Linked DNA regions of Anolis sagrei. The protein of the gene in region 2 purifies or fractionates together with the protein of the main gene of each other region. This does not show direct contact. Links are inferred from orthologs where the notes say so. Each region holds a gene or a part of one and is shown on either strand. Other genes may lie near its edges.

Region 1 (3,753 bases), on a different chromosome or scaffold from region 2:
TCGGAACCCACAGGTTAATAAACATTGAATTAGATTAGTTTACTTTTGGCCCTAGTATGCCATAGAGCTGCATTGCAGGGGCCATAATTCTTAGAGAAATAGTCTTTCTAGGAATTTGCTAAGTCATCCAACACAACTCTGGTAATTTATCATAGAATCACCTGGTGACCTATGAAATTCCTATGGAAACTACTTCCCCACAGGAATAGGTAAATGAAACTGTGGATACAGATCCTGTGGTTATGGGAGTTTTACTGAATATTATTATTAAATTTGCTAAATGGTTCGGGCCCAGACTATTTGGCTGACTGCATCTCCACATACGAGCCTGCCTGGGCACTGCAATTAGCATATGAGGCCCTGCTCTTGGTCCCACCCTTGACCCAAGCATGGCTGGTGAGAACGAGAGATGGGGCCTTCTTCGAACTACCTCCTTAAGGAGATCAAAATGGCCCCCTCCTTGCTCTCCTTCAAAAACAATTAAAGACCCTTTTATGCTCACAAGCATACATAGAGGAGAGGACCTATAAAACGTCTGGCACGAACAAAACAGAACGTAATATGGAAATGGTTTGTTACTCTGCCTTTAAATTTTTTAATGTTTGCTTCTTATTAGTCCTAAATTTTAAGTCTTATTTTTAGACTGCGAACCGCTCTGAGTCCCCTTTGGGGTTGAGAAGGATGGTATACAAATACCGCGAATAAATAAATAAATAAATAAATAAATAAATAGCTTATCAGTCAAAATGTTCATTTTTAGTTGTGTGGTGCCTAATTTGTTGTAATTTTTCACTATTGCCTGATGTTCATGTCTAATATGCTGTTATTTGATTTATTATTTGCTTATTTGTGGGGTTTTTTGGTCGCACTTCATGGCACTGAATGTTTGCTGCTATATGTTGTGAACTGCCATGAGTCACCATTGGAGGGATAGGGCAGGACAGAAATAAAATCTTTATTCTTTATTATTTTTTAACTTATGTGAAATCAGATTTTAATTTAATCTTGTTTCAGTCTTTTGGAAACAGATGTAGCCTGTTTGAGCACTAAGATCTGCTGGGGAGGTCCTGCTCTTGGTCCTACCACCAACTTCGCAAGCATAATTGGTTGAGATTAGAGACAGGGCCTTCTCGGTGGTGGCCCCTCATCTGTGGAATTCCCTGACTAGCGAGATCAGACTGACCTCCTGGTATTTAGGAAACAAATCAAGACTTGGCTATTCAAACAGGCTTTCGGAGAGCAACAAAAAGGGAACTAGAACAAGGCTTCCCAGAAAACATCAAAGAAACATCTCTCTCAATGGAAAACCACCAGTACAACACATTAAGATGAACCTGCCCATTCCTCTTCAGCAGGTCATTCTGGCTTTCAAACATATGTCACCGCAAATCTCTGCGTCGGGGGGATCATTTCAGGTTGACTTCCTGCCTGTGAGCCATGCAGGCAATTCACTTCCAGATACATATTTGAAGGCTTTCTCTGGCAGAATCACTGAGGTGTTGTGTGGTTTCCAAGCCGCATGGCCGTGTTCTAGCAGCATTTTCTACACATGTTTCATCTGCATCTGAAGGAGCCATGGTGGCACAATGGGTTAAACCTTTGAGTGGGCTGAACTGCTGATCTGATGGTTGACAGTTCAAATCCACGAGACAAGGTGAGCTCCTGTCTGTCAGCCCTAACTTCCCATGCGGGGACATGAGAAAAGCCTCTCACAGGATGGTAACACATACGGGCGTCCCCTGGCCAATGTTTTTGCAGGCGGCCAATTCTCTCACACCAGAAGTGACTTGCAGTATATTCTCAATTTGCTTTTGACACAATAATAAAGGAGGAAAAAAACACTATCTGCATCTGTGGCTGGCATCTTCAAATGATCTTCCAGATAATTTTGGCCTTCAGCTCCCAGAATCCCACATCACTAGCCCTGCTGGCAGAGGCTTCTGGGAGTTAAAGTCAAAAACAGGTGGAAGCTCAAAGCGTGCGATGCCCTAGTTACAGAAACTCCATGTCAATAATCTTTTGGAGACATTTCCGGAAACAGAAGCCGCGAGGCATTTATCAGGCTTAGGGTTCATCTTTTACACTGTAGGATTAATCCACTCCTTAACTGCTATGGCTCAACGCTATGGAATCCTTGTGAGGCACCAGCACTCTCTGGCAGAGGAGGCTAGAGATCTTGCAACACTATAACTCCCAGGATCCCCTAACATTGAGCCATGGCAGTTAAAGTGGTGTCAAACTGCACTGGGCCCAGAGCAAAGCCAAGGCTTCCAGCAGAGGCGCGTTTTTTCGTCCAGCGGGAAAGGCCCAAGCCCGCTCTCCGCGCAGAAAACTCGGCCAAGTCCTCGCCAGCCCTCCTTACCTTCACCGCCACGGCCGGGGCCGAGTCCACCGCGGGCAGAAGCGCTTGAGAGGCCGAGGAGGCCAGGTGCAGCACCGCATCCCCGCCGGCAACCCGCGCCGGAGGGTTGGGCCTACCCTCGGCGTCCGAGCCCGACTCGGAGTCAGAGTCGGAGCCGCCATACGAGGCGAGGGCAGCGATGGCGGCCGACATTTTAGCGACACCGGAAGTAGGCCGCCAACCGGAAGGAGCGCAAGCGAGGAGCGCCCGCCGGGTTCTGACAGCGCAGTGAACAACGTTCCGCCATTCCCCCACAATCACTTCAGGCCTCCTTCGCCTCGAACTAGTAGCCAATCTATAATGCTCATTTCTGACTTCAGTGAAAGAGGTGTAATTCACCCCTTACGCCACTTTTGAGGTTAAACGTTGTAGGACTTTCATCAAATACACAAATCCCAGTTGGAGGCGCTGACTTGATTCCCAGCTGCTGGTTTGTTGATAGGGATGTGCCACCCAAGGCTTACCTGAGAATAAACGTTCTTACATGTAATAGGGTTTCATTTTGAATAAACATATTCAGAAAGAACACTACGATAAAAGAAACGTTAACACATGTACTAACAAACTGGCTGTCCTCATACACAAAAATTGGGACAAATGCACCTCCAAGAGTTGACTGCCCAAGTGCGCTTCAAATTGACTGTTGATTTATAGTGGCCCCAAGAATTTCAAAGGTCCAAAAGCCACAACCACAAGTCAAGGGAATTTAGACACGGATCAAGAGGACCCCAGTTTTATATCTTGGTTCATAATGAAGGTGAAGATTCATAATGAAGGTGGGCTACAAGAATGAAAAGATAAGCAATTCAAGCTTGTGTTCTGTTTTTAAAACTATCCATGAGTATGTGTGTGCTTAAGCAACTTGTATTTCATAGGGCTTTCTTAGGCAAGGAACACTCACAAGATGGTCTTGCCAGTTCATTTCTTCGAAATAAACCTTACAGTTCCTGGTATTTGTTGGTGATCTCCCATCCCAGTACTAACCAGGAGTAACTCTGCTTAGCTTCCAAGTTTAGCTGGGACCTGATTCCTTTAGGTGTTTAGGCCTTTTAGGCACTGGGGAGAAGATAAATGATTATATGGCTTCGTATTATTAACACAATGATGCATTGTAAACCAAATTACACATTTGTATGTAGCTCCCAGCATCCTTATTCTGTAATCCTATGCACTTCTATGTTACTTCCAAGTAACAATTATCAGAATTGCACTGTCAAGACTATGTTCAAGTTCCCATCCAGAGTTACCTGACAGTAAGTCTAACTGACCTTAGTGAAACCTACTTTTATGAGTAAACAAGGACAGGTTTAGGTATGTTAACTTTGTTTTATTATCATTGTGTAATTTATTAT
Region 2 (3,753 bases):
ACCCTAACCTTAACACAGACCACTGTGACCCCCATCAATGACGGACCCTAACCTTAACACAGACCACAGTGACCCCCAACAATGACGGACCCTAACCTTAACACAGACCACTGTGACCACCACCAATGACGGACCCTAACCCTAATAGAGACCACTGTGACCCCCACCCTAACCCTAACACACACCACTGCGACCCCCACCAATGCTAGACCCTAACCCTAGCACAGACGACTGTGATACACACCAATGACGGCCCTAACCTTGACCCTAACCTTATACCTGACCTTGACCCAAAACCCTATCTCTAACCATAACCACTGTGACCCCCTCCAATGTCAGATCCTAACCCTAACCCCTACCAATGACAGAGGGATCAGACGGTGCCATCCTGCCTGGAGGAAGTGGACTCTAGGATTCTATGATATATCGTATAATTTTTGCTCTCAGTCATGAATGGCCATCTATGCTATAAGGGCATGGCCATCTGTCTTTGATGGTGCCTTTTTTCATGGCTGAATACATACAAATACATGCAAACACATTTTATCTTCTTCTTTCTTTCATTTATTTTTCCCCCTTTCTTTCTTCCCTGAATTCCTTTGGGGAAAATATATAAAGGCGGTGCAATTTCCCGATACGGCCACTGGAGGGCGGTAAAGAACCATGCACTGGGCAAAAGGCGCCTCTGCGGCTTTAAGTACTGGAAGATCAAGATGGTGCAATTTTCGATGCGTCCACTGGGGGCGCAAAGGGGCCGGCCATTAGGAAGACACAACCCTCCCTCTTTCGGGGCAATCGAGGCCTAGAGCCGCGCGTGCGCAATCCAACAATCGCTTATCCGGCAGTCGAGGCCCCGGGCTGTGCATGCGCAACTCTACAATCGCTTTTAGGCGTCTTCAGGCTGCGCATGCGCATTTACAATTGCGCCCTGAGGCGAAAGGAGAGCGTGTGGTCGGTCGGTTCGGCTCGGGAAGATGGTGAAGCTGACGGCGGAGCTGATCGAGCAGGCGGCGCAATACACCAACGCGGTGCGGGACCGGGAGCTGGACTTGCGGGGTGAGGAGGCCGGCCGTCGTGTAGTGGCGGAGGCCTGTTTTGGGTAGGCCAGGAAGCCTCCTACGGGAGCCTGCGGGGGTCATGCTTCCTTGAGTAGGCCTCTCGTGGGGCCTGCGAGGCGTTAGCGTTGGCGCAGGACTTCAGGAATGGCATCGTTCGAACCCTATTGGAAGCAGAAAGAGGGAAGGACTTCAGGGTCTTACTCAGGGCGCTTTTTGGGACTGCAGCTTCCAGAATTTTTAAACCAAGGTTTCTCAAGCTGTCCTCCAGATGTTTTGGACTTCAGCTCCTACAATTCCTAACAGCTGCTAAACTGGCTGGGGTTTCTGGGAGCTGAAATCCAAAGCACCTGGAGAAGCACAGTTTGGGAAAAACTGCCCAGGCCCTGGGCAAACTTCAGCCCTCCAGGTGTTTTGGACTTCTACTCCCACAATGCCTGGGGCCCAAGTTTTCCCATGCCTGCATAAACTCTGTATTGACTTGATGCTCCAATTGAGAGACCACAATTAAAAGAAAATTAAGACCGATTTTGTAACGGCAGTATGCACTTTTACTTAAACGACAGCCAGTAATATACTTTTTGCCTTAGGGAACATCACTTACAGCGCGTCGGGTTCAAACTGACTTTTCCGCTAAACATTAATTGGTAGTGTTCCATTATTCAGGTTTACATATTTTATTTAAAGTATTATTTATTCAAAAAAAATTCCAGTTGCTTGTGTCCCCTTAATTGGGAATCTGCTGTACTTAAACCAATGAGCATTGCCACGTTATTGCTTTGGTAGAAAGTACAATGTGTGAATGGTTCTGTGGAAAGAATATATTTTTACTGTTTTGGTTGATTTTAACTGAATTTTTAGTGCTGTTTGTGGCTAATTCTATTTTAATTTTTGCATATTTATATATGCTCTCTATATATGATACACACAGACACTCATATATGTGTGTGTGTGTGTGTGTGTGTGTGTGCATTCATGTTGGAGCTAGCTATGGACAATGGAGATGAGCACCACCCCGCAGAGTCAAACATGGATAGACTTAATGTCAGGGGAAACCTTAATTGTTACCTTTATATAAATATGGACATGCCACTAGTTTTATCTACCCATGCCCCCACCCAAACCCTACTTTAAGGAATTAATCAATTTTTAATCTTTTTATCTTGTAGTTGCTCGATTATTTAGGAGTGGGTTGACAGGCCAGTAAGCCATGATGCCTTGTATTCATATATAGTTTTACTGTATGTGTATGTTTTGCATGTTTTGATATGGTCAAAATTGACTAATCAATAAAGAATTGTATATATTAAATTGTATACTAATGCTTTTGTGTCGCGCTGCTTTGAGTCCCCTTTGGGGAGATAAAGTGGGGTACAAATAAATATAATAACAATAATAATAATTTCTGTTTGTCTCGAACCTGCTGCCAGTCAGCCTGAGGCTGGATCTACACTGCCATATAATCCTTTTTCTGAGTCCAGATTATCGGCTTTGAACTGGATGGTATGAGTATACACTTCCATATGATCCAGTTCAAAGCAGTTAATCTGGATTATATGGTAGTGTAGATGAGGCCTAAGAGTATAATCCTAAACTCTATCAGAAATTTCTCAGATCTGCTTGACTGGATTGAAAGAATACTGAGACAATAGTGTACTGCCAGCTTTAGTTTAATGCAGACTCAAAATTGCCCTTTTCCATTAGTAACTAGGGCTATTTTTTTTATTTTTTTATTTTTGGTGATGCTTTATCAGGTTATAAGATTCCCGTGATTGAAAACTTGGGGGCTACTCTGGACCAGTTTGATAGTATTGATTTCTCTGACAATGAGATCCGAAAGTTAGATGGGTTTCCTTTGCTGAAAAGGTTGAAAACATTGCTGATGAATAACAACAGATTGAGGTGAGTGTGAAGCCTAAATACCCTCAAATTTAAGAGAGAAAGCAGTGCAATGTTAGTCTTTTCTAAATGTAATGGAAATGTAACCACTTTGCTTTAAATTTCTCTTTTATTTCAGCCGAATAGGCGAAGGATTGGAACAGTCTCTGCCCAATCTCAAGGAACTAATTCTTACAAATAATAATATCATGGAATTGGTGAGTGAAATAAAAGGCAATTTAAAAATGAATGGGAAGGAAGGGGAAAGCCCTTTGTTGTCACAAAGTCCTAAAGGAATAGCTGCTCTTCAGATATGGACCTTGATATTATTGAAACTGACAGTAAAAGTCAGAAAGGTTTGGAACCTTTTAAGTGACCTGCTCTTTTGTGTATGGGAAAGAGGCGGATATAAAAGTTCTTGTTATTTAAGGCTTTTATTTATATTTCTGTGTTTACACATAAGAGAGTCACTGAGAATCATAGTATAGCAACCCTGGGAGAATTTGGTGACTGAATACAATTTTTCCTTTATCCTGGGATGTGCTTTGGAATTCAAAAGCTTCTGGGAAAATACTCTTTTACTTTAACGGCAATGAAGTAAGGCTCAGATTACAATTATGTTTCAAACCGAGAATATGAAACAGGCTCTTAAATGATGGAGTCTTGCATTTACTTGATGCTCATTTGTAAGATAAGTTCCAGCTCTTGAAGGGCATACATTTCCAATGGACTGAATCTCTGTATCATGTGGAACTATAAATGTCGTAAATAAATTAAATAAATAACTAACTAATTTACTCTGCATTTTGTCTTGATTCAG
Region 3 (3,753 bases), on a different chromosome or scaffold from region 2:
CGCCTGAGATGGCATCTGAACTGTAGGATTAATGCAGTTTGACACCACTTTAGCTGCCATGGCTCAATGCTATGGAATTCTGTGAGTTGTAGTTTTACAAGGCTTTTCATGCTGCCTGCCAAGGAGTGCAGATGCCTTAGCAAGGAGCCATGGCACGTTAGAGTGGTATCAAACCACATTCATTCTACAGCAGGCATGGGCAAATTTCACCAATTGGGTCACACAGTTGACAGAAAACCTACACACACAGATATCTACATAAAAACTCCCAACCATCACCCAAGTGAAAAAAGAAGAACAATTAAAGCCCTCGCAGATGGTGCAAAAAGAATCTGTGAACCCCACCTCCTCCAAGATTAATTGAACCACCTAAACTGGGTTTTACAGGCCAATGGATACTCCACCTCAGACATCTGAAGAGCTGCAAGACCAAGAACAAGCCACGAGAGTAAAGACAAATATCCACAAAGATATTCTTGCAATACATCAAGGGGACCACTGACTGCATAGGGAAGCTGATGAGGAAACACAACATACAAACTATCTACAGACCCACCAAGAAAATCCAACAAATGCTACGTTCAGCAAAGGACAAGAGGGATCCTCTCACCTCTGCAGGAGTCTACCGTATACCATGCAGCCTACATAGGGACCACCAAACGCAGCATTGCCCAAACACAAATCAAGGAACATGAAAGGCCCTGCAGACTACTTCAACCAGAGAAGTCAGCCATAGCAGAGCACCTGATGAACCAGCCTGGACACAGCATATTATTTGAGAACACAGAAATGCTGGACCACACCAACAACCACCATGTCAGACTACACAGAGAAGCCATTGAAATCGACAAGCATGTGGACAATTTCAACAAAAAGGAGGAAACTATGAAAATGAACAAAATCTGGCTACCAGTATTTAAAAAACTCTAAAATTATAACAGCACAACAACACTCAAACACAGGGGAACTCAGGAACAGCTAATCACCTCTCAACAAAAGATTCCCCCAGGCACTAACAAGCTACACTTAAAAACTGCCAGGCCATCAAATGCTAATCAAGGTGGCCAATTGAAACATTCACACCTACCTCCAACAGACAAGAGCTCTTTCTCCCACCCTGGACTTTCCACAGATATATAGACCCCCATTTTCCTAGTTCCAACAGACCTCACAACCTCTGAGGATGCTTGCCATAGATGCAGGCGAAACGTCAGGAGAGAATGCTTCTAGAACATAGTCATGTAGTGTGAAAAACCTACCGGCTGTTAGGAATTGTGAGAGTCCAAAACACCTGGAAGGCTGAAGTTAGCCATGCTTGTTCTCCAGTGTAGTTACACCCTTAGGGTCCCCATTAAGCTGGAATGGACTCTTAAGGCCCACCCCGCCACCAAGCAACACAAGATTCCCTGCAAGGGGAATCCGGCACTGGCTGCACACGGCTCCTCCGGCCGCAAGGGGCGCTGTCGCTCTCTTTCCGGAAGTGGGGAGGTGGTGTCTCTCGCTTCCTCCTTCGCGTTTTGCGTAGAGGGACGCGTCATTTCCGCTCCAGTCGTTCTTCGGAAATGGCTGGCAGACGTCGCTGCGCCGCGAGAGATTAAGCCGGAGCGAGGAGGCTGTGTTTCGTGAGCGGCGCCATGGGGCGAGAGTCCAGGTGAGCGGGCGGCTGTGTCCCCTGGGGGATCCCTCTGAGGCCCGGCCGGGACCCTGCCCCCTCGCCCTTCACTCACTCTAGGCGGGGGCCAGGCCGGCCCTCAGGGCCTTGCGAGGGCTGCGCGGAGACGGGGCCCTTTCTCATCGCTCCTGGTGTACATGGCAGTCTTTGGAGGAGACGTTCTGGTGCCAAACCACCCCCGCCACCTCTTCCTCCTCCTTCTGTGTCTCGGGGCCCTTCCACACAGCCGTATAACGCAGAATATCAAGGCGGAAAATCCCACAATGTCTGCTTTGAACTGGGATATCTGACTCCACACTGCCATAAATTCAAGTTCAAAGCAGATATTGTGGAATCTTCTGCCTTGATATTCTGCGTTATATGGCTGTGTGGCAGGGCCCCAAGACACAGAAGGAGGAGGAAGAGGTGGTGGTGGTGATTTGGCACCACAACGTCTCCTTCAGAAGATTGTGATTTACGCCAGGAGATATGAGAAAGGGCCCCGTCTCCACACAACCCTCGCAAGGGCGAGGGAGCAGGGTGCCAGCCAGGCCTGGGATAGCTGAGTCCACACTGCTATATATTCCAGTTCAAAGCAGATATTGTGGAATCTTCTGCCTTGATATTCTGGGTTATATGGCTGTGTGGCAGGGCCCTTTGTTACTGAAGCTGGATACCAAACTCCATGGACTCTCAAGTCCCATGATTTACAGTGACATAGTAAAATGATGTTCTTTTATATAAAATGGCAAAGTAAAGGATTTTTAAAAAATCAAATATTTTAAAGCCATGGATGGTTGAATCCGTGTTTACAAAGGGCTGACTTCATGTGTCATTTCCTATTACATTAATAAGTTATGTTAATTTGTTTCTCGCAAGGAAGTAGGGATCCTGCAGCCCTTCACTGTTTCAGTCAGTTGTCCGTAATCATTGAAGGCCACATGGTACCCATGCATCCTGGGTTGGCAGATTAGACATGTTTTAATGACTTTGGGCCTTTCCACACAGCCATATAACCCAGAATATCAAGGCAGAAAATCTCACAATATCTGCTTTGAACTGGGTTATCGGAGTTCACACTGCTATATAATCTAGTTCAATGTGGATTTTATATAGCTGTATGAAAGGAGCTTTAGACCCCATCCGCACTCAGTCTTGTTTTAAAATATTTTTATTAAAGACACAAATATAAAGCATTTTCCATATATGTGCGTGTGTGTGTATGTATGTATATATATATATATATATATATATATATATAATATAAAATAAAAAGGAGGGGAAAAAGAAAAAAGTGAGCAGAAAAAGGTGAAAAGTGATAGTGAATCAAGTAGAGAGAGGGAAAAATCACATTTACAAAACTTTATATATATTGACTTCCGTCTGCTTCGTTATGTTACTTACAATATTCTTGCAGTCTATTTTGTCTCCACCTTCATCCCCTTTCTTTGTCAATGTGTACTTAAAGAACGACTATTTTTCTTATATCTTTATTTCTTCTTCAGATTTGTTTTTTTTTAACTTTTCCTTTTTAAAATAGTCTTTAAATAGCTACCAATCTGTTTGAGTTTTTGCTCTTCCTTGATTTGTTGATGACAAATATGTCAGCCTGTCCATGTTCATAATTGATTGTTTAATACAGTTTGAAGCTAGCTTTGAAAGGTGGCAGCCGGACAACAAATTCCCCCAAAAAGTGCATGAATGAAAGCCCTTAATGTGCATCAGTGCTTTGTAGTTTGTTTCATCACCATACAGGCCTCAAACTACTACCAGGATTTCCTGTGTAAATCATCTGCACATCAACATCATTTTTGTTTGAAACTGAATTAAATGGTCAATGTAGATGAGATCCTATATTATAATGCATTGTTAGTGTAATGTAATTAATTATCTGTAAATAAGAATGCATTACTTTGGCCAGCACACATTTTGGTGCATTGTTAGTCCTGTTTCTGGTATATTTGATCTGCTCGTTCCAAAACTGGCCCCAGATTTCTGCTATCAGCTCTAGTTTTTGAGATACAGAATATATGCCATATACCAATTTTCATCTGCTCACCCATAGAAAATAATGATAACCACAACTAAGAAACTAGAGCTGA

The links. Proteins that work in one complex are often made in the same cells at the same time.
Region 1: the proteins of SNRPA1 (region 2) and CDC40 purify together in Homo sapiens (affinity purification with mass spectrometry; 3 studies listed by BioGRID and IntAct, counting the BioPlex papers as one, with this or other methods). This does not show direct contact. The link is inferred for Anolis sagrei from reciprocal best matches to the Homo sapiens genes SNRPA1 and CDC40.
Region 3: the proteins of SNRPA1 (region 2) and DDX46 purify together in Homo sapiens (affinity purification with mass spectrometry; 3 studies listed by BioGRID and IntAct, counting the BioPlex papers as one, with this or other methods). This does not show direct contact. The link is inferred for Anolis sagrei from reciprocal best matches to the Homo sapiens genes SNRPA1 and DDX46.

Annotation. Positions count from the first base shown.
Region 1 is NC_090021.1:93,489,170-93,492,922, forward strand, and holds the start of CDC40 (pre-mRNA-processing factor 17), read right to left. Parts: upstream 2,572-3,753; 5' UTR 2,555-2,571; coding exon 2,363-2,554; intron 1-2,362. UniProt on the Homo sapiens protein: Required for pre-mRNA splicing as component of the activated spliceosome. Plays an important role in embryonic brain development; this function does not require proline isomerization.
Region 2 is NC_090029.1:22,342,762-22,346,514, forward strand, and holds the start of SNRPA1 (U2 small nuclear ribonucleoprotein A'), read left to right. Parts: upstream 1-893; 5' UTR 894-974; coding exon 975-1,056; intron 1,057-2,809; coding exon 2,810-2,957; intron 2,958-3,072; coding exon 3,073-3,151; intron 3,152-3,753. UniProt on the Homo sapiens protein: Involved in pre-mRNA splicing as component of the spliceosome. Associated with sn-RNP U2, where it contributes to the binding of stem loop IV of U2 snRNA.
Region 3 is NC_090022.1:91,475,337-91,479,089, reverse strand, and holds the start of DDX46 (probable ATP-dependent RNA helicase DDX46), read left to right. Parts: upstream 1-1,518; 5' UTR 1,519-1,634; coding exon 1,635-1,651; intron 1,652-3,753. UniProt on the Homo sapiens protein: Component of the 17S U2 SnRNP complex of the spliceosome, a large ribonucleoprotein complex that removes introns from transcribed pre-mRNAs.